Linked DNA regions of Mus musculus. The protein of the gene in region 1 purifies or fractionates together with the protein of each later gene. This does not show direct contact. Links are inferred from orthologs where the notes say so. Each region holds a gene or a part of one and is shown in the gene's direction. Other genes may lie near its edges.

Evidence for each region.
Region 2: the proteins of Ret (region 1) and Stat3 purify together in Homo sapiens (affinity purification with western blotting; 3 studies listed by BioGRID and IntAct, with this or other methods). This does not show direct contact. The link is inferred for Mus musculus from reciprocal best matches to the Homo sapiens genes RET and STAT3.

Annotation. Positions count from the first base shown.
Region 1 is NC_000072.6:118,170,498-118,186,375, reverse strand, and holds part of Ret (proto-oncogene tyrosine-protein kinase receptor Ret isoform c precursor), read left to right. Parts: intron 1-1,935; coding exon 1,936-2,199; intron 2,200-4,263; coding exon 4,264-4,551; intron 4,552-5,913; coding exon 5,914-6,158; intron 6,159-6,908; coding exon 6,909-7,104; intron 7,105-7,708; coding exon 7,709-7,911; intron 7,912-9,939; coding exon 9,940-10,198; intron 10,199-10,527; coding exon 10,528-10,653; intron 10,654-11,258; coding exon 11,259-11,369; intron 11,370-12,019; coding exon 12,020-12,139; intron 12,140-12,707; coding exon 12,708-12,961; intron 12,962-15,878. UniProt on the Homo sapiens protein: Receptor tyrosine-protein kinase involved in numerous cellular mechanisms including cell proliferation, neuronal navigation, cell migration, and cell differentiation in response to glia cell line-derived growth family factors (GDNF, NRTN, ARTN, PSPN and GDF15).
Region 2 is NC_000077.6:100,890,217-100,906,094, reverse strand, and holds part of Stat3 (signal transducer and activator of transcription 3), read left to right. Parts: intron 1-166; coding exon 167-262; intron 263-420; coding exon 421-502; intron 503-796; coding exon 797-891; intron 892-1,036; coding exon 1,037-1,188; intron 1,189-2,332; coding exon 2,333-2,491; intron 2,492-2,580; coding exon 2,581-2,673; intron 2,674-3,298; coding exon 3,299-3,358; intron 3,359-7,271; coding exon 7,272-7,301; intron 7,302-7,393; coding exon 7,394-7,487; intron 7,488-7,596; coding exon 7,597-7,644; intron 7,645-9,688; coding exon 9,689-9,772; intron 9,773-10,932; coding exon 10,933-11,031; intron 11,032-11,258; coding exon 11,259-11,394; intron 11,395-11,878; coding exon 11,879-11,931; intron 11,932-12,109; coding exon 12,110-12,204; intron 12,205-12,290; coding exon 12,291-12,430; intron 12,431-12,808; coding exon 12,809-13,021; intron 13,022-15,878. UniProt on the Homo sapiens protein: Signal transducer and transcription activator that mediates cellular responses to interleukins, KITLG/SCF, LEP and other growth factors. Once activated, recruits coactivators, such as NCOA1 or MED1, to the promoter region of the target gene.

The DNA of each region.
Region 1 (15,878 bases):
CTTAAAGCTGTGCATGGACTCCGAAGATGAGGAGAGAGGTGATGCTGATTTGTATGGAAGCTGGAAGTGATGCTTATGAGTGTGGTGATAGTTACGGTGCGGATGGTGATTGTAGATAATGGAGGAGGTACAGGTGTGTGGATGAAGATGACAGCAGGCAGCGGCCGTTGTTCTTAGACCTTCCCATCCACCAACTAGATTTTGCTCCCAATAACTCTAGGAAGAGGAAGGGCCTAATCTCCTTGGAAGCCAAGACAAAGAATGTATAACCTTTGTCCTAGCCAGTGCCCCAACTCTGCCAGTCACCCAGACGTCGTCCATGGTCTTGCCTGGAATCCACAAGGTGGTTCAACCTGTCATTTCTGACAGGCGTTTTGGGGTCATGGTCTCTTAGCCCTGAGAAGCTAGACTTCTTGTTAGCACCTGCCTCTTCCAGCTCTCTCTTTCCTGAACTTACCGTCTTCTCCAGTCTCTTCTGCTCTCTCTCTAGATCGGGCTACCCCTCTTGTGGCTGACACTGTCCATGCTTCCTAGGGAAGCGCCCCCCCCACCCACGGCCTCCCTGGTCTTCATTTGTGGCTCCTGTCAATGATTCAGAACAAGCAGCTTAGGTCTGCGTTATTTTCTTGTTGCTGTGAGTAAGTGCCAGACAAGAAAGGACTCTTAACTGCTGAGCCATGTCTCCAGCCCTTTGGTTGAGTTTTGCAAATGGCATTTGTCCTAGTAAGGGTTTACTGTTGCTATGATGAAACACCAGGACCAAAAGCAAGTTGGGAAGGGACAAGCATTTATTTGGTGTACACATCTACATCAGAGTCCCATCATTGAAGGAAGTCAGGACGGGAACTCAAACAGGGCAGGAACCAGGAGGCAGCAATTGATGCAGAGGCCGTGAAGAGAGACTACCTACTGGGTTGTTCCTGACCGCTTGCTCATCCTGCTTTTTCTTTTTATTTAGAACCCAGGACCATCAGCCCAGGGGTGGCACCTGCAATGGCCTGGGCCCTTTCACGTACAGACTTCCTGTAGGATCCAGAAGTTCCATCTCTCAGTATCATCCCGGAGACTTATACATCCATTTCATAGCGACATTAATCATTAACAGCCAAAGCTGCACGCAGCTCTGCTGCCTATGGATGGGGACACAGAATATGAGGTGTACATTGCACATGTCATTCAGCCCTGATTTAGAAGGAGAGATACTCTGATACTGTCCTGGCTAGGTAGATGTGTGTCAGTTTGAACAAGCTATAGTCACCCGAGAGGAGGCAGTCTGGACTGAGAAAATAGTGCCTCCGTAAGATCGGGCTGTAGGCAGGCTTACAGAGCATGCTCTTAAATAGGTTGCTGCCACAGGATTCTGTGGTATGGTTGTGTCACTCTGCCTACCTGAATACCCACTGCAGGACATCTGTTTCTAGTGAGAAATTCACCCATTTAACACTCGGTTACTTGATGGATGGGCGGTTTTCCTTCTGCTGGACACATGGAGTAGACTTGCTGGGTCATATATAAGAGCATATTTTGATAAACAGTCAGTTGCTTTCATACGCAGTGCTCTTTTGTTTCTGGGGACTGCGGCCTGCCCTGCTGGTCTGGCAGTCTCTCATAACTTTGAAACTTCCTCCTGTTCCAGGTGGTATGCTGGGAAACAGTCACTGAACTCCTGGGTCATGTGTGATCCTGGGGCAGATTACACTTGCACTTGGGTAGCAGAGAAGTATTTTGCACTGTTTTGTATTTTCTCCCCCCTTCCTTTGCCTTTCTTTGCTTAAATGTGGTGCATTTATCAGTCATGTTTAGCTATGTTCATGTTCTTTGAACTAGAGGTAAGAAATTCTTGCTAGGATTAGAATTTTAGTTTCTTGCTTTTGTTTTTGTTTTTTGTCCTCGATGTTTTCCCCATCCCCACTCACACCCTCGTGTCTCCTGCAGCCCCACTGGGCCTCTATTTCTCAAGGGATGCTTACTGGGAGAGGCTGTATGTAGACCAGCCAGCTGGCACACCTCTGCTCTATGTCCATGCCCTACGGGATGCCCCTGGAGAAGTGCCGAGCTTCCGCCTGGGCCAGCATCTCTATGGCGTCTACCGTACACGGCTGCATGAGAATGACTGGATCCGCATCAATGAGACTACTGGCCTTCTCTACCTCAATCAGAGCCTGGACCACAGTTCCTGGGAACAGCTCAGCATCCGCAGTAAGAGAACAGCCTGACACCCCTATCCCTACTCCACTTTGGCCTAGCCCTTAAGCTGCCCTCATCTCGACTGCCAGTCTGAGGCCAGGGATGGCTTTATGGCCAAGGGTGTAAGGTACAGGGTAAAGGCAGTTGCTTCGTGTCCAGTTAACGAGGGACCCACATGACTTTGGGAATACTAATTACCTCCTGAAGCTATTGGGAGTTAAGAGAACCATGCAAACGACTTGGCACTCTGTGTAGAGCAGAGTCTAGGTGCAGTGGGGTCATAAGGGTATACAAGTTGTGAGAGAGATTCCAAGGGGCTGGAAACACTCCCCGGGGAGTCAGTAATTTAGCTGATGACCTGGAACTTGCTGAAGAGTACCTGGTCCTAGAAATCATGTTTCCCCATCTGCAACAGGCTGGCTTGAGGTGTCCAGGAAGGAGGCAGAGCAGAAGGAAACCTAGAGGGTGTCCCAAAGCTAAGGCTGGAGCTGCAGTCGAGGCCACATAGGACGTTAGCCCTGGTGTGGAGAGTGAGGATCTGACTCGCCTGTGTGATGTGGGATGGTGATGGTATGCGCCTCCCAGGACCTCCTCTGAGGCATGGCCTCACAAGTCCTTAAGTTCCAGTCCACACGTGGAGGCAGGGTAGATGAATACTATGATACAGAATTAACTATATCGACAGGATTTGTAGAGTGACTGACCTATCTGACAAGAGCAGTGTCTAAGTTAGAGCTTCCATTGTTGTAAAGAGACACCATGACCAAGGGAACTCTTATGAAGGACAATATTTAATTGGGGCTGGCTTACAGGTTCAGAGGTTCAGTCCATTATCATCATGGTGGAAGCATGGCAGCGTCCAGGCAGACATGATGCTGGAGAAGGAACTGAGAATTCTACATCTTTGTCCCAAAGGCAAACAGGAGAAAGACTGGCTTTCAAGCAGCTAGGAGGAGGGTCTCAAAGCCCAACCCCACAATGACACACTTCCTACTCCAACAAGGCCACACCTCCCAGTAGTGCCCCTCCCTGGGCCAAGCATAGTCAAAACACCACAGCAGCCAGGATAGTAAGATGGGAGGATGCTCGAGGTGCCAACATAGTCTAGATCAGTGATTCTCAGCCTCTGGGTTGAGACCCCTTGGCATGCATAGCAGATATTTACACAATGATTCGTAACAGTAGCAATGTTAGTGTTAGGAGGTAGCAAGGCAATAAGAATTTTATGATTGAGCGTCACCACAATGTAAGGAACTGTGTTAAAGGTCACAGCATCAGGAAGGTTGAGAGCCATGGGTCTAGACAGTTCCTGGAGGAAGTACTCTGCAATGTCTCTTGGTTTCAAAAATACCTTCATTTCCTCTGCGTCCCTCCTGAACCATAGTGGGAAACTGAGGAATGAGAGTCCTTGGGGGGAAGCCAGGGTGGAATGTGCTGTAAACCTGCAGTTCCCTGAAGACCTACACCACTCATGTTTGAGCATGGCCTCGTCCAGTCAGGAAAGAAGCACACAGCAATTTGGACAGTTTGTTCAGAGAATGTTAACCACAACAGGGTCATCATAACAATGTAATACAGGCTAAGGGGAAGCAAACTGAACCCTGTAGCAATCTGCCAGGCCTAAGGCAGAGGCCCAGGGAGATGCCTGCCTCTGCCAAAGGCTAGACCTCACTAAAGTGGGCTGTGGTGCCTCAGTGGTAGAACTTAACTGGAAACTCTTCTACAGAGTATTAATGAAATCTGTGCAAAGCACTTGATTGGTAGGCGGGGTTGGAGGGTGGAGAGTCCAACTCCCAGAGGCCTGCAGGAACCTACACTATGAGGCCACTCACCTGGCAGGACCTGGAAACTTTAGCCCCAGGCAGGGCTTGGGTACTTCTTTCAGGTTGGACCATTTGAGCAGAAACCTGAAAGACAAAAGAGGCAGGTAAGAGGGCTACTGATTTCCATCATCCTGCAGCGGGCGGCGATGGGGAGGTATCAGCTGAGACTTGTGGACCACACTGAACCCTGGAATTCCTGCCCCTCTTCTTGATCCCTCACCTGAAAAGGAGCTGTCTTCTTCTCTTTCTACAGATGGTGGTTTCCCCCTGCTCACCATCTTCCTCCAGGTCTTTCTGGGGTCCACAGCCCAGAGAGAGGGAGAATGCCATTGGCCAGGCTGTACCCGTGTGTACTTCTCCTTCATCAACGACACCTTCCCAAATTGTAGCTCCTTCAAAGCCCAGGATCTCTGCATCCCAGAGACAGCCGTGTCCTTCCGAGTCAGGGAGAACAGGCCTCCTGGCACCTTCTACCACTTCCACATGTTACCCGTGCAGTTCCTTTGTCCCAACATCAGTGTGAAGTACAGTCTCTTAGGAGGTGAGTTCCAGCCTCAAGGGGCTATTCCTTTGTCCTGTTACATGGGAGGCATGGTGCTATAAGCCCTTAGGGTGAGCCACGAGTTCTTTTTGCCACTTGTTGAGTATTCCAGAAGTATCTCTCTTGAATGTCTGTCACCAGCCAAGTAGTGTTGAAGGAAGTTAGGATACAACTGTAAACAAACAAACGATCTGGCGTCTTGCCTGCCTTGAAGCCTCTAGTCATCTGGAGGATAGAGCCCTTGGACACGTCAAGGAATCTAGATGGTTTCTAAGGAGGAGTGAGAAGCTGAGAGAACAGAGAGGTAGGGGCCACTAAACCAAGTGGGTAGGTGCCAAAAGGCTCTGGCCCCAGAAGGTGCTAAACTGAGACCATTTGTAGTTGGACTGCAGTTAGCCACTAGAGAAACAGTGGCAAACAGGGGCAGGCTGGCTATGTCAGGGGAAATGTCAGGGTTTCTTTCCCTAGTGCAGGGGAAACTGTGGAAGTCGGGGGGCAGGTATGAGAAGTCTCCACTTGCATCTAAAAAGGCTTAGTTGGGCTCCTATGTTGGGTACAGTTCGTGCCAGGGTAGTGTATGGTACAGTTAGGGACACGGAAGGGTCCAGGACAGACTCCTGATTGGGAGGATGGGCTGATAGCGAGGCTGGAGTTGGCATGAAAATCGTGGAGCTTCCTGGCTTGCTCTTAAGGAGACCCAGATGGATTCTTCTAAGCTAGAGATGGGGTGTTGAACCCAGTTCCAGGGGTTCTGCTAGCATCCGCAGGCACAGCAGACCTTTCTGGGGAGCTAGCCCTTCTAGCAAAGTGGACCTGTATACTTTGACATCTTGCTTATGTAGAATAAATGAAGGCTTCAAGAAACCAATCAGGTCACAATCGCAGGACACAAACAACAGGAAATCAAATCCCATATCCAGAAATCCTGGTTGGAATGTCAGTCACACCCCTGATGTCCAGTATCTGTTTTCAAGTCATCGAACCGGGATGTTTCTCCCATTGTCTGACACGAGCAAATGTCATGTCTGTGATTTAAAAAAAAACAAAATGGATGACATTGTGAATCTGACCATACCTGGAGCTGGCTCTCTGCCTATCCTCTGCCCTCCTGGGCATCCCCCCTCCAGGCCATGACAGAGACACCTGGCCTTATGTCAACCCTTGTCTGCCCATTTGCATGAGTGAAGGCTCCAGGCACAAAACAGTAGGTGACACAAACCTCACACAGCCTATATTTGGAGTACTGTGTGCCGTCCCCACAGAGCCCACTGCCATCCACTCTGGGTAGAACCATGAGCAAGGGAGGCCACGCCCCATCCCCTACCCAGTGGTCATGCGGTATTCCCTTCTGCTTGGTGACAGGGGATAGTCTGCCCTTCCGTTGTGACCCAGACTGCCTGGAGGTGAGCACTCGCTGGGCCCTGGATCGAGAGCTCCGGGAGAAGTATGTGCTGGAGGCTTTGTGCATAGTGGCAGGCCCTGGTGCCAACAAAGAGACGGTGACTCTGTCCTTCCCAGTGACAGTGTATGATGAGGACGACTCGGCGCCCACCTTCTCTGGAGGTGTGGGCACTGCCAGCGCGGTGGTGGAGTTTAAGCGGAAGGAGGTTGGTCCCACAGTGGCATTTGATTGTCTGGTTGTCTTGTCCTGTGCATGTTTGGTGTTTGTCCCTGTCGGCAGTTTATATTTGATCTGTTTAGCTAGCTGTTCCACTAGCCGTCCAGTCATGTGACCCTCTACTTGTCCTTTGTGTCTTGTCTGTTTGGCTGACTGCCAGCCAGATAGCTGCAGTAAACTGGGCTGGCACTGTGAAGGCCCGAACCTGGGGTGCTTAGATTGTGTATAATGAGGCCAAGGGCCTCATGAGGAGAGCACTGGGGAAGAACACTCAGGCTCACTTGACCTGGCAAAAAGGAGGGTACTCCCTTCTGCTGGCAGCTGGGCAACTTGTCCAGGAGTGTCCTATGAGAGGATGTCCTCGCCCATGCTGCTTTGACCAGCCTAGGTGGTGTGCTACTGCCACCTGCTGGGCTTCAGGCTACTCTGCAGCCTGCTCTTAGGCTCAGTAAGAAGGGTGTTTTGCTTCTCTGGGGAACTAACTAGCTACAGGCTTCCTAGGGAGTGAGAGCAGTATGGGGAAGCGAGAAAGTATCTGATTAGACAACCTTAGAGTAACCCAGTGGCCCTGTGGCTTTGCTTACAAATCTTACCCGAGGCCCTGGGGACAAACATTCAGTTCTGATCGTCTGGCCCTAGGATTGGTTCAAAGAACACATAGTTGGTCTAGTTCTGGGCTGTGCGAGGTCATGTGATCCTCTGACTATACCTGCGCTGACTGGCACTCTGCTTTCTGTAGGGCACTGTGGTGGCCACCCTGCAGGTGTTCGATGCAGATGTGGTGCCAGCGTCTGGGGAGCTGGTGAGACGGTACACAAACACACTCCTCTCAGGGGACTCCTGGGCCCAGCAGACCTTCCGGGTGGAGCATTCGCCCATCGAGACCTTGGTCCAGGTCAACAACAACTCCGTTCGGGCAACCATGCACAATTACAGTAAGAAGCCAACGGCGTGATGTTTTCCCAGAACTTCAGGACACTTGGTATACACACACACACACACACACACACACACACACACTCTCACACACTACAGGAAAACCACATACATTCCATACACCAAAATATGTCCCACTGAGCACACCCATTCCAGGCCCCACACAGTCTGTGTATACAAACACTACCCAAACACCCCATACACAAACTCATTTAAATATGCTAATTTACACCCGCCCACCAGTAAGTAAACACCACACTCATACATTTCATACCCACCTAACACACTACACCCACAAAAGTATACACACTTTGTATACATATCAAACCACAGGACATAATAAACCCCTATATATAAACACACCACACATGTACCACATGTACCGTATGTCTCTCTGGAGCATATGCATGTGTACACACACACACACACTCACACACGAGATCTAGCCGAGTAAAATGTTTAGCTTTTAAATATCAGTACTATTGTAAGACTGCCCACCAGACCTGCAGGGTTGGACGTTGGTGTGGCTATATAGTATGTGGCACAAGACGTGATGATGAAGGATAGTAACTTGTTTTGTCTCCTTGTCGTGCCCGCCTACAGAGCTGATTCTCAACAGGAGCCTGTCTATCTCAGAGAGCCGAGTCCTGCAGCTCGCGGTCCTGGTCAACGACTCAGACTTCCAGGGGCCTGGGGCAGGTGGTATCCTCGTCCTCCATTTCAACGTGTCTGTACTGCCCGTCACCCTGAACCTACCCAGGGCCTACTCCTTCCCAGTGAATAAGAGGGCCCGCCGCTATGCCCAGGTGAGCCCGTGGCCCATTACATGGCATGAGGTTAGGGGGTTCCAAGACTGCAGGCAGGGCTATGGGTGGGTGGCACCTCTTCCCTAGCCCATCCAGTGCAGCGTTAGCATAGGTGGCTCCCTAGTAGAGGGATCCTTAAGCCTCTGTTTACCCCGCTTCACCCTAGAGAGCTCCTAGCCTCTCGTTAGCTCCCAGAGCAAGCCTTCTGATCTTACCGTCTTACTTCTTGGTATCTTTAAAACATTTTTTTTTTTTGCACTAATACAAAACATTTCCAGGTAACCCCGTGTATGCCTACTTGGAAAGATGTTCTTGGCTGTACTGTTAAGTGGAAAAAGTGGTTGGAGGAACCTGGTCTCTGGTGTCTCTGTCAATGCAAAAATACCTTTTTAATGGGGGGAGGGGACTTTAGTGGGTAGCAGACTGTGGTTGGCAGTAGTGGCTTGTGGGAAAAGGCAGGGGTCACATCTGCTTATAGAATTTTACGCGCTAGAGACATCACAAGGTAATGTTCATATTTGTCTTTGGAAAATGATAAATGAAATGGAGAAGTAAAAGATTGGGGTCGTGGTTCAGTGGTATAGATCTGTCCTAGCACGCACTAGGCTCCATCCCCAGCACCGCTAAAAATAAATGAAAATACAAAGAGTAGAAAGTGAGCGGTGGTCTTCATTAAAATGATGAGGATTGAGGGCACATGTCCCTCCCACCCCTTGACCACCAGAGACAGCATTTGCTGCCGTTCTGACTTGTTTCTTCTCAAGCACTCACGGTGTCTGTTTGTTGGTTGCTTTTAGTTCATTTGTGGTTTGCGCACGTGTGTGTGTGTGTGTGTGTGTGTGTGTGTGTGTGTGGTGGGGGGGGGGGGTGTAGAGGGTTGATCTGTCTTCGGACTGTGTTTAGAACAGTCTCCTCTTGTGCCCGGGTCTTTCCAATTCTTAAAGTCGGTTCCAGATTCTCACTCACTCCTGTCACCAGCACACGAAGGACCTGCCTGTAAATAGAGAGAGCCTTTAGCCCTTCTCCAGGGTGAGAACATCAGGTCGGGAGTGGGGATGACAAAGTGAAGGGCTTGAGAAGGGGTTGGAGGTATCAGTTAGAGGCGGATCCACCTGCATTTAAAAGACCTGGGAGCCTCAGTCATTGCCCTGTAGTGATTGGTTTCTTACTGTCTCCATAGTTTTGAACTTGGATATTTTTAAGGGTCCCCCGAGAAGATAGAGGTGAACGTTCTTTGTAAGGGAAAGTGAAGCAACCAGGAGGTTGGATTGTTAGGGTGTCCGTGTGGCTTGGGAAACCCCTGTCCCTGCTCTGGGTCTTAAGAAGCTGCCCCCTAGGTCTGTGCTTGCCCTGAGACACAGGGCCCCACAACCAGGACCACTCCTGCAGCTCTGAGCAACCATAGCTCTCTGGAGTGTATGTGAGATAAAGGCTCAGGGCCTGGCTCCAGAGCCAAACATCCTCAGAAGGGGTCTCTTTCCAGAACCTCTACAGAGGCCTCTTGACCTCAAGTGCAATGACAGCATTGCAGTCTCCCAGCTAGGGCATGGCGCTCTAACAGGTGGGGGGGCGGGGGGAGAGAGACACACAACAGGGGGATTGTGGCCATCACAACTGACTCCCAGTGGTGTGGGTTTCTGGTGAGTTGGTGTTCTTAAGCAAGGTGGGCTTGTAGGTGCTGAGGCTGTAGAACACTGGACATTGAGGAAGGCTGCCATTCAAGCAAAGTTGAGCCAGGTGGTGGTGGTGGTGGCGGCGGCGGCGGCGGCGGCAGCAGCGCACACCTTTAATCCTAGCACTCGGGAGGCAGAGGCAGGCGGATTTCTAAGTTCGAGGCCAGACTGGTCTACAAAGTGAGTTCCATGACAGCCAGGGCTACACAGAGAAACCCTGTCTCGAAAAAAACAAACAAACAAACAGCTAAGTTGAGGGCCGTTCTGCAATTTGCTCTTCCCAAGAGCCCATCCAGCTAAGGTGCACTGGTACGATCCTCCTCCTTCCTCTCCTCCTCCCTGTCCTCCCCTCCAGATCGGGAAAGTCTGTGTGGAAAACTGCCAGGAGTTCAGCGGTGTCTCCATCCAGTACAAGCTGCAGCCTTCCAGCATCAACTGCACTGCCCTAGGTGTGGTCACCTCACCCGAGGACACCTCGGGGACCCTATTTGTAAATGACACAGAGGCCCTGCGGCGACCTGAGTGCACCAAGCTTCAGTACACGGTGGTAGCCACTGACCGGCAGACCCGCAGACAGACCCAGGCTTCGCTAGTGGTCACTGTGGAGGGGACATGTAAGTGTCGGGCTCCAAGGAGGGGTGAGACGTCACAGACAATGTGTTCGCTGTGTCTTTCGGTGTAAACCAGTGATACCATGTGTCCTTTGCTGTGGTCACCCTCATATCCTCCCTGTCAGATGGGCTCAGCAGACAGGAGGCTGATGAGAGCCTCTGGCTCTCGTGTCTAGGTCCCTGCCATACAATACTCTGGTTACCCCAGAACCTGTGGAGTTTCAGTCCAGAGACAGTAGAACTGTTGCTACATTCTGTTCATTGGAGAGGTCTAGAGACTGGGCCCACACCAGCCCCAGTGACCTTGGCTTGTCTGTCTGTCATGCTTCCAGCCATTACTGAAGAAGTAGGCTGCCCCAAGTCCTGTGCAGTAAACAAGAGGCGCCCCGAGTGTGAGGAATGTGGTGGCCTGGGTTCTCCAACTGGCAGGTGCGAGTGGCGCCAGGGAGATGGTAAAGGTAGGCGTGGGAGCCGGCAGGGGGTCGTGGGGGGCACCGGGGAGGAGGGGAAGGGGGGGGGATGTTCTGGCTGCCATCAGGGTTCCTGCAAGGCCTCCTAGTCCCTGCCATGAGCTTCCTTAATCCTTGTCTTCTGACCCTGTCCCTCTTGGGAAACCAGTGCCAGCAGAGAAGGTGGGGCACGTGCCATCTTGTAACTAGCGGTTCCTCAGTTGGATTCAGTCTGGGTTTGGAAGGGTCTATATCAGAGCTGGGACAGATGGGAGACAGAGTGGTTCTTCCAGAAAGTCCCAACTAGGAAGTGTGTCTGCCTCACTGTTGGGTGCACCTCCCGCTCTAAGGCTCCTGTTGGCAATATAGCTTTGACGGATCCTTGCCTTCAAGTGACCTCCTTAAAGGAAGGCTGTCTGCAGTCCTGGGATGCCCAAGCACTTCAGCCCTTGGGAACCCCTTGTCTCATTTCTCGCTGCCGTCTTAGGTGTATGTGGCCTTGCCCCACTTGTCCCTTCATCTCCCTGTCCCAGGAGAGGCAGAGTTGGACCATGACAGAGTCGTGGTGGGATGTGCCCCTGTGGGGTGACAGCCTGCTGTATGCTCCACCACAGGGATCACCAGGAACTTCTCCACCTGCTCCCCCAGTACCAGGACCTGCCCCGACGGCCACTGTGATGCTGTGGAGAGCCGGGATGCCAACATTTGCCCCCAGGACTGTCTCCGTAAGCCCATGCTAGGCCCGTGGTGATGCATCTTATCAGCGTCCGGGAAGGGCAGAGGAGAGGGAGGTAGCAGCAGAGAGCTTGGAAATCCTAACCTCCTCCTGAACATGGATGCCCATCGGAGGCCTCAGGCTGGACGGGGGTATTGTCTGTGCACGAGCTTAGCTTATGTAGGGCCATGGCTTCATCTTAGCACTGAAGAGGAAAAGTGTGTGATAGTAGGTTGAACCAAGCAGGATGGGTCAAGCCAGTCCCACTACCATCTCATTTGAATGTTCGTCGTGTTCCCCCAAGACTGGGCTTTTGTAGCATGGCCTGCCTATCCTTGGCTGACTTGTGAAACTCAAGTCCCTGATCTGCTGGCTCAGAACCCACCTTGCCTCTTATCTATTACTTCCATCTTTACTGTTACTGGGGGCTAGCCATGGGTGATGTCTTCTGGGACCTTAGCAATGACTCTGAGGAGTCTTGGTTCCCCTCCACTTCCATAGACAGTATGGGCGGGGGGGTTATTGTGTTAAACTCTCTGCCCAGATGAGAAGGGCCTCTGAACCTATTGCCTTTGATGGGCCTGAGCTACTGACTCCGAGTTGGGGACTCTGAGGTATCAGGCCACAGCAGGAAACTTAATGTGCCACCTATGTCCTCAGGTGCCGACATTGTTGGAGGACACGAGCGAGGGGAGCGCCAGGGCATTAAAGCAGGCTACGGCATCTGCAACTGTTTCCCTGATGAGAAGAAATGCTTCTGCGAGCCAGAGGACAGCCAGGGTAAGTCATGCCTCCCACACAGTTCCCCAACCTCCCCTAACCCTCAAGGGAGTTCTGAGCAACATTTATGAGGTCCACCAAGGGAAGAGACTGTGGGGGAGGCAGTTAGATTCCCGGGAGGCTCCTCCTTCCCTTTGGGCCCAGTACCGTTGGTGCCCCTGTGAATAGGGGTCAGAGTCCCTCTAAAGCATTTCCTAGCCACAGTTCTTGATGAAGGAAGCTCAGAGAGCAGACCTTCCAAGTAACTTGATCAGATTTCCTGTACAGGGTCTCCCTCGGCCTCTGGCACTGTGGAAGTCTCCTGCTATTTGGCTCATTCTAGAACCCTCTGTCCAAAGCCTCCGATCCTTTCTTCCTTCATCCTACCTTTTTGTACTGAAAACAGTATAGCTGGTGTGGCTGGCATACTGCCTGTGCTGTCTGAGGGAGGCAGTGTGTGCAGTCTTCAAATCAGTGTTTCTACTGTGAGAGAGTGAACACAGGGGGAGGTGGTACAGTGATGCCTGCACCCGGTCTGTAACATCTCAGATGGTCACAGTGCAGTCTCTGTCACTCTGCCCTTCCGCAGGCCCACTGTGTGATGCGCTGTGCCGCACGATCATCACAGCTGCCCTCTTCTCCCTTATCATCTCCATCCTGCTGTCCATCTTCTGTGTCTGCCACCACCACAAGCATGGGCACAAGCCGCCCATTGCATCAGCGGAAATGACCTTCTGCCGGCCGGCCCAGGGCTTCCCAATCAGTTATTCCTCCTCAGGCACCCGCCGGCCCTCACTGGATTCCACGGAGAACCAGGTTCCTGTGGACTCTTTCAAGATCCCGGTAAGGGGCCCCAAGAGGTAGGTGGACAATGTTGGAGGAAACATGGCCACACAGGCTTTCTTTACTACTTGGGATACCCACAGATGGTGGATACGGCATTGCCTAGATCTCCCGTCGCATAGGGCCAAGAGCAAGGGCATCCTTGCCTTCCAGTGGGAAGCTGGGCTGTGAAGGCAGGCTGTCTAAGAAAGAACTGACAGGTACTGATTTAGATGGCTCTGGCAGGGATCTGAGATGTAGGCCTTGAAGTCGCAGCGAGAGTGAGCAGGGCCCTAGCTAGCAAGGGAGATGTGAGCAGAAGCCCCAAGGGATAGGACCAGTAATTTCTACACACGCACAGGCACACATGTACTCGGCAAGTATTTTAAGTCAGAGTGGGAACCGTGGAAGAGACTTGTGTTAGTTAGCATTTCAATTGTTGAGCAGTGGGGTGGGATGGGGGTGGGGCAGAGAGAGTGGGGGTCATAAAAAAGTGCAGGTTTTGAGGTCCAGGGCAGCAGCATGATGTAGGGTAGTGCCTCAACATGGAGTCCCCACTGGGGGCCCAGAAGAAAGCCCCAGCTACTCTTGAGATGGACGTACCTTTCCATGGGTGCTGCTCAAGGCCAAACTACCATTGAGGCCTCCCTATCGTGGTCGTGCCTTTCCTGGGCTTGCCGTGTATGGTGTCTGCCCTCACCTTCAGGAAGACCCTGACCCTTCATCACTCCACCCCGCTCTTACCTCTTTAGGATTTGGAAGCCAGGGTGCTCTGGGAACGGCTAGAACAGTGTTACGAGACAAGGGGTCTGAACAGAGTAAGCCACAGGTTTGGGTGGAGAGGTTGTGATGTGGACACCTGAGGGAGCATCCAGTGGCCACGGGCTCATGGTAGTCTCTGTTTCAGGCTATGCAGTGACCTTAGGTGGCCAGGAGGTCCTACCTCCTCCAGGGCCTATGTGAATGACACCCAACCCTCACACAGGGCCAAAGAAGTCCTTCCTACAGGTCCTGATTCCCTCTGATGATCCCAGCGTGTGGTTCCTGTTCTGGCAGTAGCTGGATCTCCAGCAGGCTTCTAGACGAAGCCACCAGAGCCCTTTGTTACCCAGGTAACACAGTGAGGCTGCATAGTAAGGCCATGTAACGTTCCCAAGGGTAAAGACATACCACTCTCACATGTCTGCTCCAGAGTTAGCCTGGTGCCCTCAGGCTATACCCACATAAGCCCCACGGCTCGGCCACTCAGCCTGATTTCTCTAACATAAAACATGGAGAATTGGAGACTGTGGCCCATTCCTTTAATCCTGGCACTTGGGAAAACCAGGCAAGGAGATCGCAAGCTCAAGTGTAGACTAGGCTGAAACAAGCAAATGAAACAGTAAAGATACTGATTTTTTTTAATTTTTAATCTTTAAAAGGATCAAGTTCATACCGTTCTCACGTGCTTAGCGTAGTCTCTGGTATACGCTCAGACGTGTGTTTAATGGCTGTAGTGGAGGTGTGGCAGTGGGCTGTGACACCAGTGGTATCTCTGCTTTCTTCACACTCGAGAGGCTTCACAAAATACCAAGATCACTCAAGAGCCTGCTAGAATGTGTGTTTGTATACTCAAAGGAGGCTGTCCCCACAGGCCATGTGTATGTGTATATATGTATGTGTGTGTACGTGTTGTGTGTAAATCAAAGTATGACCTTTGTCCTGGAGCTATGTGTCCTTATTAGGCCAGCTTTGTGGTTAGGGAAGCCTTTAAAGAGCCTTGTAAACAGAAACCTGAGGTCTGCACGAGGACACGTGAGGCAGTAGGCATCCAGTGCTGTGCCAGCACCATGGGGTGGGCCTCTAGCAGGATGGCACTTGGCTGGCAGGAGTCTAGAAATGTATCCAGAGCAACCATGATCAGGCCTGATAAATGGAAGGGACTTGATTGGGATGCTGGGGAGGCAACATGTCAGGTGGAACTGGGGTGTAGCGAAGTGTGCATGGGATGGGCCATGGGAGGAGCAGCGGCCCCACACTTCAGAATGGGAGTTTGCCCGGGAGCTCGGTGGTGCATTTCTTTAACAGGCAGCCACACAGGATATCTCTGAAGGTTTCCACTGTGGAAAAGTCTGGGATCAGAAGTGCCCTGAGCTGTGGGTGCCCATTCAGTCCTTCAGAGGCCCCTGGGTGGGGGTGTCAGAGAAAACTTGGGTCTGAGGCTGCTATGTAGTCAGCCAAAAGCACCCAGCAGGCCTTGAGGATAAGAACTTTAGGCTTACTGGTCCTGTGTTTTTTGGGGAAGTGGGGGCAGGGTGAGTCACGGCCTTGAGACCAGCCCCCTCCCCTGGAGACTCGCTTAAGGCCTCTCTGGCCTGACCATGGTGTGTTCCCAGTGGATGAGCTGTGAGGTGGTGGGTGTGGTTCAGGTGATGACTAGCTCTCTGCCTACTGACCTTGTGGGGTCAGGAGTTGGTATTTAAAGGCCATGCCTCCTTGCCCAACTTTCCTCCCTTCCCTGATGTCTTAGTTAGGGTTTTACTGCTGTGCACAGACACCATGACCAAGGCAAGTCTTATAAAAAACAATGTTTAATTGGGGCTGGCTTACAGGTTCAGAGGTTCAGTCCGTTATCATCAAGGTGGGAGCATGGCAGTATCCAGGCAGGCATGGCACAGGCAGATCTGAGAGTTCTATGCCTTCATCCAAAGGCTGTTAGTGGAAGATGGACTTCCAGGCAACTAGGGCTAGGGTCTTAAGCCTACACCCACAGTGACACACCTATTCCAACCAGGTCACACCTATTCCCACAAGGCCACACCTCCAAATGGTGCCACTCCCTGGCCCCCATAGACTTGTTCAAACACATGAGCCTATGGGGGGGTGGGCACATTAAACATAGCATAATGCAAAATGCATTTAGTCCAACTTTCAAAGTCCTCATAGTCATAGCAGTCTC
Region 2 (15,878 bases), on another chromosome or scaffold:
GTTTGCAGTGTTTCCTGTTGATAAAAAGCCAGTGGCACAGAGAGAACAGTGCAAGCACCCTCCCAGCACCCTCCCCTTTGGATGGGATGGAGCTCAGACGAGAGGGTTCCACAAATCCATGTGTGTGCTAATCTTAGTTATTTATTATTTATTTATTTATTGGCAGCAAGGGGGCCAGGCCAACCACCCAACAGCCGCCGTAGTGACAGAGAAGCAGCAGATGTTGGAGCAGCATCTTCAGGATGTCCGGAAGCGAGTGCAGGTAATCGGGCCTCACCCAGGGAGCCGCGCTGTGCTGTGCGGCTGCAGAGTGTGGTCCTGCGTGCACGCTTTCATTATCTTCAAAACTTTCTTTTCCCTTTTTCCCAAAGGTAACCTGTGTTTTACTTCTGTTTTTGGTTGGTTTGTTTGTTTAAACAGGATCTAGAACAGAAAATGAAGGTGGTGGAGAACCTCCAGGACGACTTTGATTTCAACTACAAAACCCTCAAGAGCCAAGGAGGCAAGCGAGCTGTGGGGACGGGGCAGTCTGTGCAAGGCTACGCCGTGTCACTGAGTCTCAGGGCCTGCCTTCCATGGTAGGAGGAGGAGCTGCTGGCCCTTCACGGGACAATTTTTGCATTGTTTGTTTTTGAGATGGGATTTGACCATGTAGCTCTGGCTGACCGTGAGCCTACAACCATCTTACTTCAGCTCTCTGAGTAGCCGGGACTGCAGGCGCACAGATGGTGTAGAGCCTTGTTAAGAAGGCTGTGGTGAGTCCCTCTGCTCAAGGAGTCTTTCCTCCTTCCCTTAGACATGCAGGATCTGAATGGAAACAACCAGTCTGTGACCAGACAGAAGATGCAGCAGCTGGAACAGATGCTCACAGCCCTGGACCAGATGCGGAGAGTAAGCGATCTGGATGCTTCCTGAGCATCGCACGCCTAGCGTGGAAGACAGTTTCTGATGGCTTCTTTCTCTAGAACTGACTAGAGACTGCGGTTAGACATGGGCTGGGGTAATGTGTTCTGACTTGGTTTTGGTTTCCAAACAGAGCATTGTGAGTGAGCTGGCGGGGCTCTTGTCAGCAATGGAGTACGTGCAGAAGACACTGACTGATGAAGAGCTGGCTGACTGGAAGAGGCGGCAGCAGATCGCGTGCATCGGAGGCCCTCCCAACATCTGCCTGGACCGTCTGGAAAACTGGTAAGAGTTGGAAGAAAGGCTTCTTTTTCTTTAGTCACGGGCCTGCAAGGGGGGGGGGGGGGGGCGGGGCGGAGCGGGGCGGAGGCGGGGCATGCTGCTCCCTCGCCATGCTTTTGCTTTTGCTTTTGCTTTTGCTTTTTCATGCTGGGGTGGATGTGTGGTAGACAAGTGTGCCAGAGCCACTGGACTACACTCCTAGTGCTGGACACTATTGCTAAGATGGCACCTTTTTTTTTCTTTGAGAAAGAATCTCACTGAGCTGCATAGGCTGGCCCTCATACCCACTCCATAGCCCAGGCTGGCCCTCATACCCACTCCATAGCCCAGGCTGGCCCTCATACCTACTCTATAGCCCAGGCTGACCTTGAATTTGCAATCCTCCTGCTTCATCTTCCCAAATGGAATTATCTGGGATTATAGGCATGCATCACTCTGCCTGCCTTAAGGTGGCCTTTTTTACACAGTCAAGTTTAGTCCAAGAATTAAAACCATTACCTAATTTTAACTTTTTTGTTTTTTTCTGAGACAGAGTTTCTCTATTTAGCCTTAGCTGTCCTTGAACTTGCTCTGTAGACTACACTGGCTCAAACTCATAGAGGTCTGCCTGCCTCTGCTTCCCAAGTACTGAGATTAAAGACATGCACCACCATTGCCCAACCAACAAATTTTTAATTAAAAAGAATAAATTAATAAAGCTTAGATCACTAATTTAAGATATTTAAATAATACTTTCAGTTGTATTTAACACTAAATTCTCCATTTTAGTTATTTTAATAATCTAAAACAATATATGTTATTTGCAAAGGGGGGAAATAACTGAATATATATAAAACTAATAAAATGAAATAAAAAAAATGAAAATCTAGTCTTTGAGTAGTACCAGCAAGTCACCAGACTTTGTGATAGTCATTTTGTAGGCATCTGTCGTGATTAAACATGTGATTTCATGACTATACATGTGATGTCATAACTATACATGTGAAGCTAGAAATCGAGTTGTCCGTCTCCTTCCTCCCTTCCTTCCTTCCTTCCTTCCTTTGTTGTGGTGGGATGGATGCCTCAGGGTCCCTTTGCTTCAGTCTCCTGAGTGCTGGGGTCACCACTAGGGGACAGAGGTGACTGGAACTTCCTTCCATTATGGCAGGATAACTTCATTAGCAGAATCTCAACTTCAGACCCGCCAACAAATTAAGAAACTGGAGGAGCTGCAGCAGAAAGTGTCCTACAAGGGCGACCCTATCGTGCAGCACCGGCCCATGCTGGAGGAGAGGATCGTGGAGCTGTTCAGAAACTTAATGAAGAGGTAACTTGTAAGAGATGACGTTCCGAAGGGAGGAACCGGCAGAAGACTGGTCACCACAGCGTCTGAGATGCCATCCTTTTCCCTTCCAGTGCCTTCGTGGTGGAGCGGCAGCCCTGCATGCCCATGCACCCGGACCGGCCCTTAGTCATCAAGACTGGTGTCCAGTTTACCACGAAAGTCAGGTGGGCCTGTCCTTACACTTTGGGTGGAGTTTTGATTGATGTCCAGTCCTCTTCCCTGAGGATTTTAAGGGAAGGAAGGTTCTGTGGTGCCATAGCTGAGGGGCCCCATTGGGTGAGAGATGAAGCCCACTCCTCACCTGGCTCAGAACACGTGCAGTATTTCTCATTGAATGCTTTTTATTGCCTTCCCGTGAGAAGTCTCTTACAACTTGCTTCACATGCTTAGGCATCTCAGTACTTTCTAGCTGAAGGGTTAGTGTTCACTTTTAATGTCAGAGATGACTCTGCGGAAGTAGAATTTGGGTTTGTAAAAATAATATATATATATATATATATATATATGCGTGCGTGCGTGTGTGTGTGTGTGTGTGTGTGTGTGTGTGTGTATTTTTCATCTAGACAGGTCTTTGTAGCCCTGGCTGGCCTGGAACACTCTCTGTAAACTAGGCTGGCTTGAACCCAGAGATTCACCTCCCTTTGCCTCCCAAGTGCTGGGATTAAAGGCATGCACCACCATGCTCAGCAATATTTTTACATCTTAGGAATTGAAGTATTAGGGGGTTTATATTTTAACGAGATCAAGGTAGGGAGCCTACTAACTTTCCTTGACTATATTTTTTAATAGGTTGCTGGTCAAATTTCCTGAGTTGAATTATCAGCTTAAAATTAAAGTGTGCATTGATAAGTAAGTATTCTTTATGTGTGTGTGTGTGTAAGTGTATAATTTTTATTATTTAAAAGCAACTGTTAAATTCATGCTTTGCTCATATTCTTCCCTTCTCCCAAGTACATTCAGATCTCCTCCTCCTGTACTCACCCAAGTTTCTCAAAAAAACTAAACAACCAAAACCCCAATACAACAAAATCCCCAAAAGACTGAGAACAAAATACAACACCCAAAAAGAAAAAAGATGGGACTAAAATTGTGATTAAATAAGAGCATGCACAACAAACTATTTGTTGGTCAACTGTCCTGCTCACGAGACCCGCACTGAGTGGTTGACAAAGCCAGTGCTGCTCCCAGCAGCTCCATTGCTAATCTTTCACCCTAGTGGTGGGTTTACATTCATTCATTCATTCATTCATTTTTTTTAATGTAACAAAATAAAATATAACAAAGCAAAACAAAGGCTATGACATCCAAGTTGGACGAGACAAACCAACAGGAGGAAAAGAACCCAAGAGAAGGCACAGGAGTCGGAGTCCCACTCGTTTGCACCCTGGGAATCCCATGAGAACACTACATGGGAAGCCACAATATTAGCACAGAGGCCCTGGTGCAGGCCCCTGCAGGCCCAGGGCATGCTGCTCCAGTCTCTGCGAGTTCATATGAGCTTTGCTCGTGGTGATTCAGAGGGCCTTGTGGTTTTGGTGACCTCTAACCCCTCTGGTTCTTAATGTTTTTTCTGCTGCTTCTTCCTTGGTATTCCCTGAGCTCTGAGGGGAGGGATTTGCTGGAGACATCCCATTTAGGGAATGAGTGTTTCAAGGTCTTTCTCTGCATGATGTCTGGCTGTGGGTCTCTATATTTCTTCCCATCTTTGGACAGGAGGACTCTTCTCTGATGATGGCTGAGCAAGGCACTGATATCTGAGTCTAGCAGAATGTCACCTGGAGTCATTTTATTGTTTTTTTTTCCTTTCTCTTTTTTAGATCAGTATTATTTAGTTTTTCCCTAGGTCCTTGGGCTATCTAGTCTCTGGTTCTTGGCCACCCAAGCCTTGTTGGGTATGAGTTTCATCTTGTATAGTGAGCCTTAAGACTCTTGTTGGTTGGTTACTTCCACAGGTTTGTGCCACCATTGCCCTAGCATATCCTGCAGGCAGTACACTATTACAGATAGAGGTTTGAGGCTGGCTTGCTGTTCACACTTCTCTTTTGATAGCATGCAGAGTACCTTCCTATAACAAAGACTCTGGCATACAGTGGGGGGCTCTATGGAGGCACCAGCTTCACGTGCCCATGTTCAGTGAGTTGTGTAGGTGTTATCCTCAACAGTGGGGCCTTGCTGTCAGTTGTGGAAAGCAACCGATGGTCTTGATAACAGCGTGGATTGTTTGAGGATTCCCTTTGGCCAACAATTCAATTAGACTTAACCCTAACCCAGTACTGGAAGCTTTATTTGGTGGCAAGAGATCGCCAGTTGGGACCCCAACTCTCCCCCATTACTTGGCGATTGAATCTAGATCACCTTCACATATGTGAATGTTTTAGGAGGTTCCTACTGTACGAGATGTCGATACTACTCCACGGATGCTCCATAAGTGTTGCCGTCTCCCATTGTTCCCTCCCACCACCAGCTCTCCTCTCCCCTCGGCTTCCCCATTTGCTCCTCCAAGTTCAGACCTCGTCTATCCAGAATCCCTCATCTATCCAGAATCCCTCATCTATCCAGAATCCCTCATCTATCCAGAACCCCTTCTATTTCTTTTTTCCTAATTAGATCTATTTGTTCTCTGTAGTTCCTTAGTCTGTATTCACCCTCTGTGGTTCTTAAGGATTGCAGCTTGGTTATCATTGACTTAATGGCTAATATCCATACATAAGTGAGTACACACCACATTTGTCTTTCTGGGTCTAGGTTACCTCACTCAGGAAGATTTTTTTTTTCCTAGTTCCATCTATTTGCCTGCAAGTTTCTTTTTTTTTTTTTTAATGGCTGAGTAATACTCCGTATGTAAATGTACCACATTTTCTTTATTCATTCTTCTGTTGAGGGACATCTAGGTTGTTTCCAGCTTCTGGTTAGTATGGAGAGAACAGCAGTGAACGTGGTTGAGCAAGTGTCTGTGGTAGGATGAAGCATCCTTTGGGTATGTGCCCAAGAGTGGTCTAACTGGATCTTGAGGTAGATGGATTCCCGTCTTCCTGAGGAGCGGCCATACTGATTTCCATAGTTGCTGCATGAGCTTGCATTCCCACCAGCAATATGTGATGGTGGCCCTTACTCCACATCCTCGACAGCATGAGCTGTCACTTGTGTTGATCTTAACTATCCTGTTAGGCATATGATAGACTCTCACAGCAGTTTGATTTGCATTCCCTGATCCTAAGGATGTTGGACATTTCTCTGTTTCTCAGCCACTTGGGTTTCCTCTATTAAGAATTTTCTGTTTAGATCTGTACCCCATTTCTAACTGGTCTGTATTTTCTTGATATTTATTTTCTTAAAATTCTTTTCGGGCATTTGTCCTCTATTGGATATGTAGTTGGTTTAAAAGAAAAATCCCGTTCTGTAGGCTACCAATCCGTATTCTTAAGCCTAACTCTTGTTTTCAAATGAGGGATGGAGAAGCAAGAACTTGGACAGACATTTGACTTTAGAGATGTCTCCATTCAGGGATCTTCTTTTTGTGAACAGCTGTGTTCAAAACCCTTGCAAACCCTGCCCGGTTTGCCTGAAGCATTGAAAAGAAAAGTTTGAGTGTGTGCAGCTCAGTATTGCAGGCTCACCTAGCACGCACGCATGCACGAGGCCCGGGTTCAACCCCCATACTGAAAAATAAACGTGTAAATAAGTAATGCTTGAAAATAGAGTATATGGAAAGAGAACTGGTTTGAAGTTAATAATCTTCTTCCACAAACCCACCAACACATGCTATTTGTAGGTAAAAATATAGCAATGGAAAAGAAATTTTACTTAGTTTTATTTTGAGAGAGCGTCTGACTCTACAACCCTGGCTGGCCTTGAATTCACAGTGACTCACCTGCCTGTGCTCCCCAGTGCTAGGATTAAAGGTATCTGACACCAAGTCTGGCTAAGAAGAACTTGTAAAATAGTGTTCTGAAATAAGATAAAGACAGAAATGTCATAATATAAAAAGATGGCCTGTCAGAGACAGGCAGCAGTGGTCACGTGAGGATAGCATTTCCAGCTGCCTTGTGGGAGGTGGTGTCAGTTTTTGGTAACAACATACCTTTCTGGAAAACCCAGCGTGGCTCCGATAATAAGGAAATTCACCACCCGTGTAACTGGAAATGCAGTTGGGGCAAGTACCTAAGGATGAGGCTGGTGACTCACAGGTGTCTTCAGGAACCCTGGGTCTTCCATGCCATCCTTACCGTGCCATCCTTACCGTGCCAGCTGTAGACAGGTTCCCTTCCAGGTGGTCTCATGGCTGTGGACAGAAGATCAGCCTAGGCTATTGCCTCCTTGGTCTGGCTGAGAACAGGCCTTTAATCCCAGCACCCAGGAGGCAGAAGCAGGTGATCTCTGAGTTCAGGTCTACAGAGCAAGTTCCACGACAGCCAGGAGGGCTACACAGAGCGCTGTCTCGGAAAGCCGACAAAACAGACAAGGCAGACCCCGTCTTCACCTGCTCTGTGGCTTCCTCTGTTCTGATGAATGCAGTGATCGGGGTTCCCTGGAGATAGATGGCTCTGCCATCCCTTACTGAGAGAATGGAGCTTTCCTTAGGAAGGGAAAGAAGCTGTGGTTAGGCCCCCAGCTAAGGCTACTGTTTAAGTGCATACAGAGTTGTGTTTCACACCGAAAATGTAACTGAGCATCGAAAGGCATGTTCCATCAGAGTAGGTTCTGGAAAGAAAGAGGGGCTCTAATCTCAGCTTTTATTAACCCTTGTCTGTGTTCTTTACAGAGACTCTGGGGATGTTGCTGCCCTCAGAGGGTAAGTTGGGCCTCCTTTTGTTCTTTCTCATCCAACTTTACCCTCTGGCTACTCAGCGCTCACTGTGTGTTGGTTTTTCTCCCATGATTTAGGTCTCGGAAATTTAACATTCTGGGCACGAACACAAAAGTGATGAACATGGAGGAGTCTAACAACGGCAGCCTGTCTGCAGAGTTCAAGCACCTGGTCGGTGTCCGAGGGGAGAGGAGGCGGCACAGGCCAGGTGGCAGAGGAGGGGGGAGAGACTGGCACAGCCTCAAGTGACACTTGCCTCCTTCTTCTTCCTTTCTTCCAGACCCTTAGGGAGCAGAGATGTGGGAATGGAGGCCGTGCCAATTGTGATGTAAGTAAGTTTTGTTCGGGCTAAAAGCAATTGTTTTCTTTCTTTGAGGAAGAAAGAGAAAGCTCTCTCGCTCTCTCTCTCTCTCTCTCTCTCTCTCTCTCTCTCTCTCTCTCTCTCTCTCCCTCTCTCCCTCTCTCCCTCTCTCCAACCCAGAATTAAAACTTTAACCCACTACTTCAGATGTTTGTCCTTTAGAAAAGTTGGTCGCTCTGGGCCAGGGTGACATGCTCAGAAGTCACAGGTGCTGTGGAGTTTTCTAGCGAGAAACATTTCCCTGAGTGTTGGGGAGTTGGCTCCCTTTCAGCAGTGGGAAGTCCCTCGCCAAGCTGTTACCCACACCCATCTGGTAGAAAAGAAGTTTCCACATTGCCCGGGGCTTCCCAGAGTCCCTTGCTACTACCTGCCAGCTGGCTCCCTTTTCAGTGCCTGGTGAGACAAAAGGAAGACATCAAGTCAGCCAGTCAGAGCTAAACAGAAAAAAAAACAACAACAAAACAAAACAAACAAAAAAAAACCACCAACCAAACTGTGCTCAGGAGCTGAGGCAGGGGAATTGTGAGTTTGAGATCATTCTGTCATTCAGCACATACATGTAAAAGAGCTGGAAATTCATTCCTGAGAATTCATCAGTAATTTGTGTACTAATTGATGAGGGTCTGTGGTCCCGTGCAGGTCCCAGTTCCTCTTTCAGAGCTGTAGAGTATTCTGCTGCCTACACCACAGCTCATGACCACAGGTAGCCACATTGCTTGACTGCTTGTGTGGCACTGAAGGTTATCACAGTCACTTTAGAAAGTGACTTGGCATAAAAATGAGCACACCCTGTAAACCGGCAGTTCCAGTCTTAGGAATTAACAGTAAAGAAAGCTTTGCATAGGTGAACTAAGGACAGATAACACAGTCACAGCCATTGGTCATTGACACAGCTCAGATCTCTCAGCACTGGGGTCATGAGCTGTGGTGTAGGCAGTGGAGTACTCTACAGCTCTGAAAGAGGAACTGGGACCTGCACGGGACCACAGACCCTCATCAAGGTGGGGGTGGGGTGTCAGGAGCAGGAACACACTGAGAGTGCAGTTCACTGTGTGAAGTACACATGCTTGGAGAAACAACCATGAACACGGTTGGGAGGAGCTGGGAGACAGCAGAGACAAAGACACAGTAAAGTGCAGAGAAGGGGGATTCACCTGGGGAATCTCGGTGATAATGGCAACTTATGCGGGATGATAATGCTAGGCTATCGCTCAGTGTTGGGGTGCACTTAGATGCATGAGACCCTGAGTTTGCTCCCTAGTGCATATAAAAGGAAGGAGGGAGAGAGAGAAGAAACCTAAGAAGCCTTCCTTTATTCCTTCCTATTCTCCCCTCCTTCCTTCCCTTTCTCCCTCCCTCCTTTCCTCTCTCCTCCCTCTCCCTCCCTCCTCCCTCTCCCTCCCTCTCCCTCTCTCCTCCCTCTCCCTCCCTTCCTCTCTCTCCCCTCCCTCCCCTCCCTTCCCTCTTCCTCCCTCCCTTCCTTCCTCCTTCCTCTTTCTCTCCCCTCCCTCCTTCTCCCTCCCTCCTCCCTCCCATCCTCCCTTCCTCCCTCCCTCCCTCCCTCCCTCCCTCCCTCCCTCCCTCCCTCCCTCCCTCCCTCCCTCCCTTCCTTCCTTCCTTCCTTCCTTCCTTCCTTCCTTCCTTCCTGTGTGTCTGTGTTTGTGTATGGTCGCACATGTGCGATGGTGTGAATGTGAAGGTCAAGTTGCCACTTGAAGGACTTGTTTCTTCTTCCACCAAGTGGGTCCCAGGGATGAGGCTCGGGTTGGCAGGCAGATGCCCTTGCCCACTGAGCCATCTTGCTGGCCCTCAAATAAGGACGTAAGCTGGGTGGCTTATCCTTGGATGCTCATTGCTTTGTTATTCTTCGTGCCTTGAATGTGTATTGTAAGATATGGTTATGTACTATGTAGTGCATATGTGAGGATCATGTCCTTGGGTCTTTGGGTGGAAGAAAGAGGGCAGAGTTGTGTCCCTGCCAGTGTCTCTGAGAGACCTTATGCTGTTGCAGGCCTCCTTGATCGTGACTGAGGAGCTGCACCTGATCACCTTCGAGACTGAGGTGTACCACCAAGGCCTCAAGATTGACCTAGAGGTGAGGCCTTCCCAGAACCAGGCGGCTCGTGTGCGGGGGTGCGTGTGCAGGGAGGCCAGGACAGAACGCCTGCCGGGATGATGGCTGTCTGCCCAGCCTGGATTTGTTTCTCATTATCTATCTCAGAAACGTCCCTGAGAGCCACCCTGTCCCCAAGAGTAAAGTCTTGCTTGAGTACCTGTTATGAAAATCTATATTAGTGATTGTTTAGAATCGATTTGATGAAGTTTGGGCAAGTGGGTCTTAGTAGCCGCCATTTAGATTTTATTTTCCTGCTTGCTTGCTTGCTTGTTTCCTTCCTTCCTTCCTTAAAGATTTATTTATTTTATGTATGTGAGTACACCATTACTCTCTTCAGACACACCAGAAGAGGGAATTAGATTCCATCACAGATGGTTGTAAAGCCACCATGTGGTTGCTGGGAATTGAACTCAGGACCTCAGGAAGAATAGTCAGTGCTCTTAACTGATAGGCCATCTCTCCAGCCCCTGTTTTCCATCTTTCTTGATCTTATTAAGTTTAGACCTGGAAAAGCAGACATCCTTAGGTTTGATTTCTAACACCTCAGCTTCATGGAAAGATGCAGGTTGTTTGGAGGTTGCCTTCCAGGTCTGTCTCTGGAGAGTCGGGCTGAGGGCCTGGGTTAGCCTTAGTGTTTGGGTTAGTGTTAGTTGTTTGTTTGTTTGTTTTTAAAGGTTTGTTTGTTTATTTATTTATTATGAGTGCACTGTGGCTGTCTTCAGACACTCCAGAAGAGGGAGTCATATCTTTTTTATGGATGGTTGTGAGCCACCGTGTGGTTGCTGGGATTTGAACTCGGGACCTTCGGAAGAGCAGTCAGTGCTCATAACTGCTGAGCCATCTCTCCAGCCCTAGTGTTAGTTTTTAGGGCCTGACTTTGAACAAGTCACTGATGATGTTCAGACATCAGTGCTGATGCAGGCTGGTCCTGATGCAGGCTGGTCCTGATGCAGGCTGGTCCTGATGCAGGCTGGTCTTTCTCCTCTTGGTGTTCTTGCTCCAGCCTGCACTTGCCGTGAGGGGTGGCCATGGTGTGATTTTTAATTCTAACTTATTGAGATGCGGGTGACAAGGGTTGGGAGCTGTGAGAGCCCAGCTGTCCCACTAAGTCATTCACCGCCTGTCCCCATACTCTACAGACCCACTCCTTGCCAGTTGTGGTGATCTCCAACATCTGTCAGATGCCAAATGCTTGGGCATCAATCCTGTGGTATAACATGCTGACCAATAACCCCAAGGTGAGTTTCCCACCCCCAACCCTCTCTGAAATCCCTGAACCTTGCTGCTTCTCCACCCCCGGTGCAGGCTGTCAGTGTCACTCTCTCATCCAAGTGGGTGCAGGCTGTCAGTGTCACTCTCTCATCCAAGTGGGTGCAGGCTGTCAGTGTCACTCTCTCATCCAAGTGGGTGCAGGCTGTCAGTGTCACTCTCTCATCCAAGTGAACAAATGTGTTCTTTTCAATAGAACGTGAACTTCTTCACTAAGCCGCCAATTGGAACCTGGGACCAAGTGGCCGAGGTGCTCAGCTGGCAGTTCTCGTCCACCACCAAGCGGGGGCTGAGCATCGAGCAGCTGACAACGCTGGCTGAGAAGCTCCTAGGTTGACAGCTTCAGACATGTCTGGCCTGGGGGGTGGTCATTCAGTCGGGGTCCCCATGTCAGCCTAGGGCAAGGCACCATGCCAGGACCAGGTTGCTAAGTGTGTTTGAAGAGCATGTTTCTTTCTTTAAAAAGCCAAAGACAATAGTTTTAAATTTTTTCTCCCCTTTAAAAAAATATCTGGACTGAAAGTAACTTTGACCTGTGCTCCTACAAAAAAAAAAAAAAAAAGGCTCCTGACCCCAGCTGCCAGCTTTGTCACTGTGTGTTGCCAGTTCTCAGACCACACAAGGCAAGGACAAGCAGGGGTCCAACAGGACATCTGTGCTGGCCTAATCTAGGGACAGCTGTTGGGCTTGGGTGTGTGTGGGCATGTGTGGCACACACCCTGTAAGTACATGTACAAATGCATGGCCTTTTTGTAAATTCTGCTTAAGAAATAGCTTTGGCCAAGGCTGAAATCCGGTTGTTGTTTTCTCTTCCAGGGCCTGGTGTGAACTACTCAGGGTGTCAGATCACATGGGCTAAATTCTGCAAAGTAAGTGATCCTGTTGATTCCCTCAGTTAGGAGGTAGGTGTGGGGTGCCCAGGACCCCTTTCTCCAGCAGCTGTCAGGAGCTGCCTGAGGATAGAGGAACCTGAGGGTGTAAGAAGGCTCTGGCAGGAAAGAGCTGGGGTGAGTGGTGGTGGACTTGCTTTCCCATTCTTTTCTCCAGGAAAACATGGCTGGCAAGGGCTTCTCCTTCTGGGTCTGGCTAGACAATATCATCGACCTTGTGAAAAAGTATATCTTGGCCCTTTGGAATGAAGGGTAAGGTTAAACTCTGCAGTAAGGCTGCCCTGTGTAACGAGTCACCTACTCCCAGCAAGCCCGTGACTGGTTGTCCTTGGCTGCAGGTACATCATGGGTTTCATCAGCAAGGAGCGGGAGCGGGCCATCCTAAGCACAAAGCCCCCGGGCACCTTCCTACTGCGCTTCAGCGAGAGCAGCAAAGAAGGAGGGGTCACTTTCACTTGGGTGGAAAAGGACATCAGTGGTAAGAACGCTTGCCTCCTGTATCACTTGCTCCACCTGCTGGCCACTGGCAGCACCCGGCTACTTCATGTTCTGGGTACTACTGCCCCCTGAAGGGCAGAGAGGGCCTGTGCCTCCTGAAGAGGTGGCCTGCCAGTTTGTCCTGTTCACTCATTTGGCTAACATTTGTGTAGAAAAGTGTGATTGAAATCTTACTTCTGTACTCCCTTTCCTGCCTACCCCGTTAATACATTTGCGGCAGGTGTTTTTGCCTATGAGCCAGCTGGATCTCTACAAGCCCGCCTGGATATTGCCTCAGTTCCAAGTCACTGGGCAGGGCATTCAGAGTCTCCAGCACTCACTCCACTGGCATAATCTCTCCTTCCATGGTCCGTGACAGGCAAGACCCAGATCCAGTCTGTAGAGCCATACACCAAGCAGCAGCTGAACAACATGTCATTTGCTGAAATCATCATGGGCTATAAGATCATGGATGCGACCAACATCCTGGTGTCTCCACTTGTCTACCTCTACCCCGACATTCCCAAGGAGGAGGCATTTGGAAAGTACTGTAGGCCCGAGAGCCAGGAGCACCCCGAAGCCGACCCAGGTAGTTGTTGACTTTCCATGGCTTTGCCTTCCTTCCTAGTGAGAAAGTACGCATCCTTGGAGAGACAAGGACATGGCTGAGTATCTTGTGGGAGCAGGGCTTGGTGATTCCTTCTTTTGGGAAAGAGTGGTTTATTGGGTTCCTTGACAGGGTGACTAACTCAGGATTCAAGAGGAGGACAGAATCAGCCCTCAGGGAGCTTGGAAGTCTGAAGATGAAAATAGTATCTCTCCCTCTTCCTCTCTTCTCCCTTTCCATCTCCCCCTCCCTCCCACCCCGCCACTTTAAAACACTAGAAAGAGAAATGAAGGCAGGTCTCTCTGGTGCTTCTCCAGTCAGTGGGTTCCAGAAGACCCGAGACAGATTTGAGTCCAGCATGCTTTGCTGTCCTGAGTGAGCAGTGCCAGGAGTCTGAAGAAAGGCTTTCTGGGGCAGTGGCTGTTGGCAGCCTGGGGCAGAGCTGACATCAAGCTGGAGGTGTTGATGTTCCAGAGATGATGACTGGAGGGAATGTGGACTTGGCATTTAGAAACAAGATGCATCTACTCTGTGGGAGTGCGTGTGGCTGTAAATCAGCATTTCTCAGCCTTTCACGGAGCGCTTAAGACTATAGGAAAACAGAGATTTCCATTATGATTCATAACTGTAGCAAAATTACAGCTATGAAGTAGTAAGAAAAAGTAATGTATGGTTGGGGTCACCACAACATGAGGAGCTGTATTAAAGGGTCATAGCATTCAGAAGGTTGAGAACTGCTGGTATAAATTATATGAAAAATAGAAATTATGTTGTGTTAAGTCTGTAGTGTCTGGGGCGGTCCCAGTGTAAAGAGTCAGAGGTGTCTGGTCTGAAGCCATTTCAAACTTGTTGCATTGACGCTTGCCTCTGTCCTTATGCTGGTGAGGAGTCTGGTTTTCTAAGACTGTTGTTGATCATTGCACATGCTGAGCTCCGAGGTGCCCTGTGTGAGCCGGCCTCCTTGCTCTGAGGTGCCCTGTGTGAGCCGGCCTCCTTGCTCTGAGGTGCCCTGTGTGAGCCGGCCTCCTTGCTCTGAGGTGCCCTGTGTGAGCCGGCCTCCTTGCTCTGAGGTGCCTTGTGTGAGCCGGCCTCCTTGCTCTGGTGTTTTTTCACCAACCGCTTCTGTTCACATAGCACCTGCACACAGCTTCCCCGGCTCTGCCCACCATTCTTGGAGGAGTCGCTTGTTGACGGTTACTTTCCTTTCCCTTTGTTCTGCTGTTGAGTTCTCTTCATTCTGTGGAGGAGTTCAGCTCTCACTTCCTGTCTGTCCCTTATCTCTGCTTCCACCTTGCCTTCAGTTGGAAGATCTGTTTATCAGTCCCTCTCACACTGGTCTTTGTTCTTTTCACAGAGGACTTTGAAGTCCGAGCACTGATCCTTTTGACTAATTTTGCTTTCAAGATCCAGGCCCCTGGTCAGGCATCCACCTCCATCACCATTCCTGTGTAGGCTGCCCAGAGACATTCCTCAGGGGCAAGGCCTGGGCATGAGAAAGGAGCCCACTGCCTGATGGGCTTGCCTGTGAGCCTAGGGAGAGTGCACTGGGGGCTCCGGAGCCCGATGATGGAAGGGTAGGGGGTTCAGATGATCCCCTTAGGGAGGTGAGCCTGTATGTCCCTGTCCTCTGCCCCTGCTACAGGAGTATTGCAGTAGAGACCTCCCCGGAGCCTCGTCCTGGGTCTTCCTTGTCTGTCAGGAGGCTGTAATATACCCTGTGCTCCTCTGGAGGGATTTTGAGCAAGTTCACCAGGCAGCAACAGGATGTTCCTTCTCTCTTCCATCTCCAGTCTGTGTCCCGCACTCCTACCTCGGGCCGGGTCAAAGAATATTTCTCTCTTGACCACTGGAGAATGAAAGTCTTCTCTTCTCCGCTCTAACTTATTGTGTATGCATGTGTGTTGGGGGTGGTCCTTGTTGGAGGACCTTGAGGGTGTCAGCTCTCTCCTTCTACCATGTAGCCCCTGAGGACAGAGCTCAGGCTTGGTGACAGATGACTTAAGCACTAAGCCATCTCCCTGATCCCCTCTGTCTCTTTAAGGTGACAGTTCTCACTCTAGAGACCTTTTCTAGAACTGTAGGCAGCACAGTTGCCTCAATAATTCCTTTGCTTCTGTGCTGAGTTAACCTGTTTCTTGGCCACAAATGAGCTTGCATATTCATCTAAGAGCACTTTCTAATGGCTTCTCCCAGGGGTTTGTCTTGCTGGATGCTTGTAAGCCCCAGTGTTCTGTCTGTGCTTTTCTTAGCCTACCCACACAGCCCCAGGCCCGCTGCGAGCATCATTAACTGAACCCCCAGGGCTTCATGCCAGTGTCCCCAGGGCTTCCAGATTTCTTGGCCTAACATTTCAGTCCTCACATTTCCAACATAAACGGCAGAGATGGAAGACAGCCAGTCCTGTCTCTTTCTCTGTCCCACACATGAAAGAGATGGCGCCTTGGCCAGGTTTCCTGGCTGTTGCACATGTTCTCGGACCTGGTGTCCTGTCTCCCAGTGGCTGGGGTATGTTTTCCTGATTGGAAGTGGCTTTGGAGCCTCCAGCACGTAAGCATTTAGTCCTGTTGGTGTCTGGGCTGGTCACCAAACAGGGAAGTCAATTCACAAGTGTGACCAGGTCACAGGAGAAGCCTAACGCTACACAAAGATGGTTGGTCGCTCAGGCAGGGTGGGGAAGGATGCACAAGAGTTGGCGGTAGGCCGGGCAGTGGTGGTGCACACCTTTAATCCCAGCACTTGGGAAGCAGAGGCAGGCGGATTTCTGAGTTCAAGCCCAGCCTGGTCTACAGAGTAAGTTCCAGGACAGCCAGGGCTACACAGAGAAACCCTGTCTCAAAAAAAC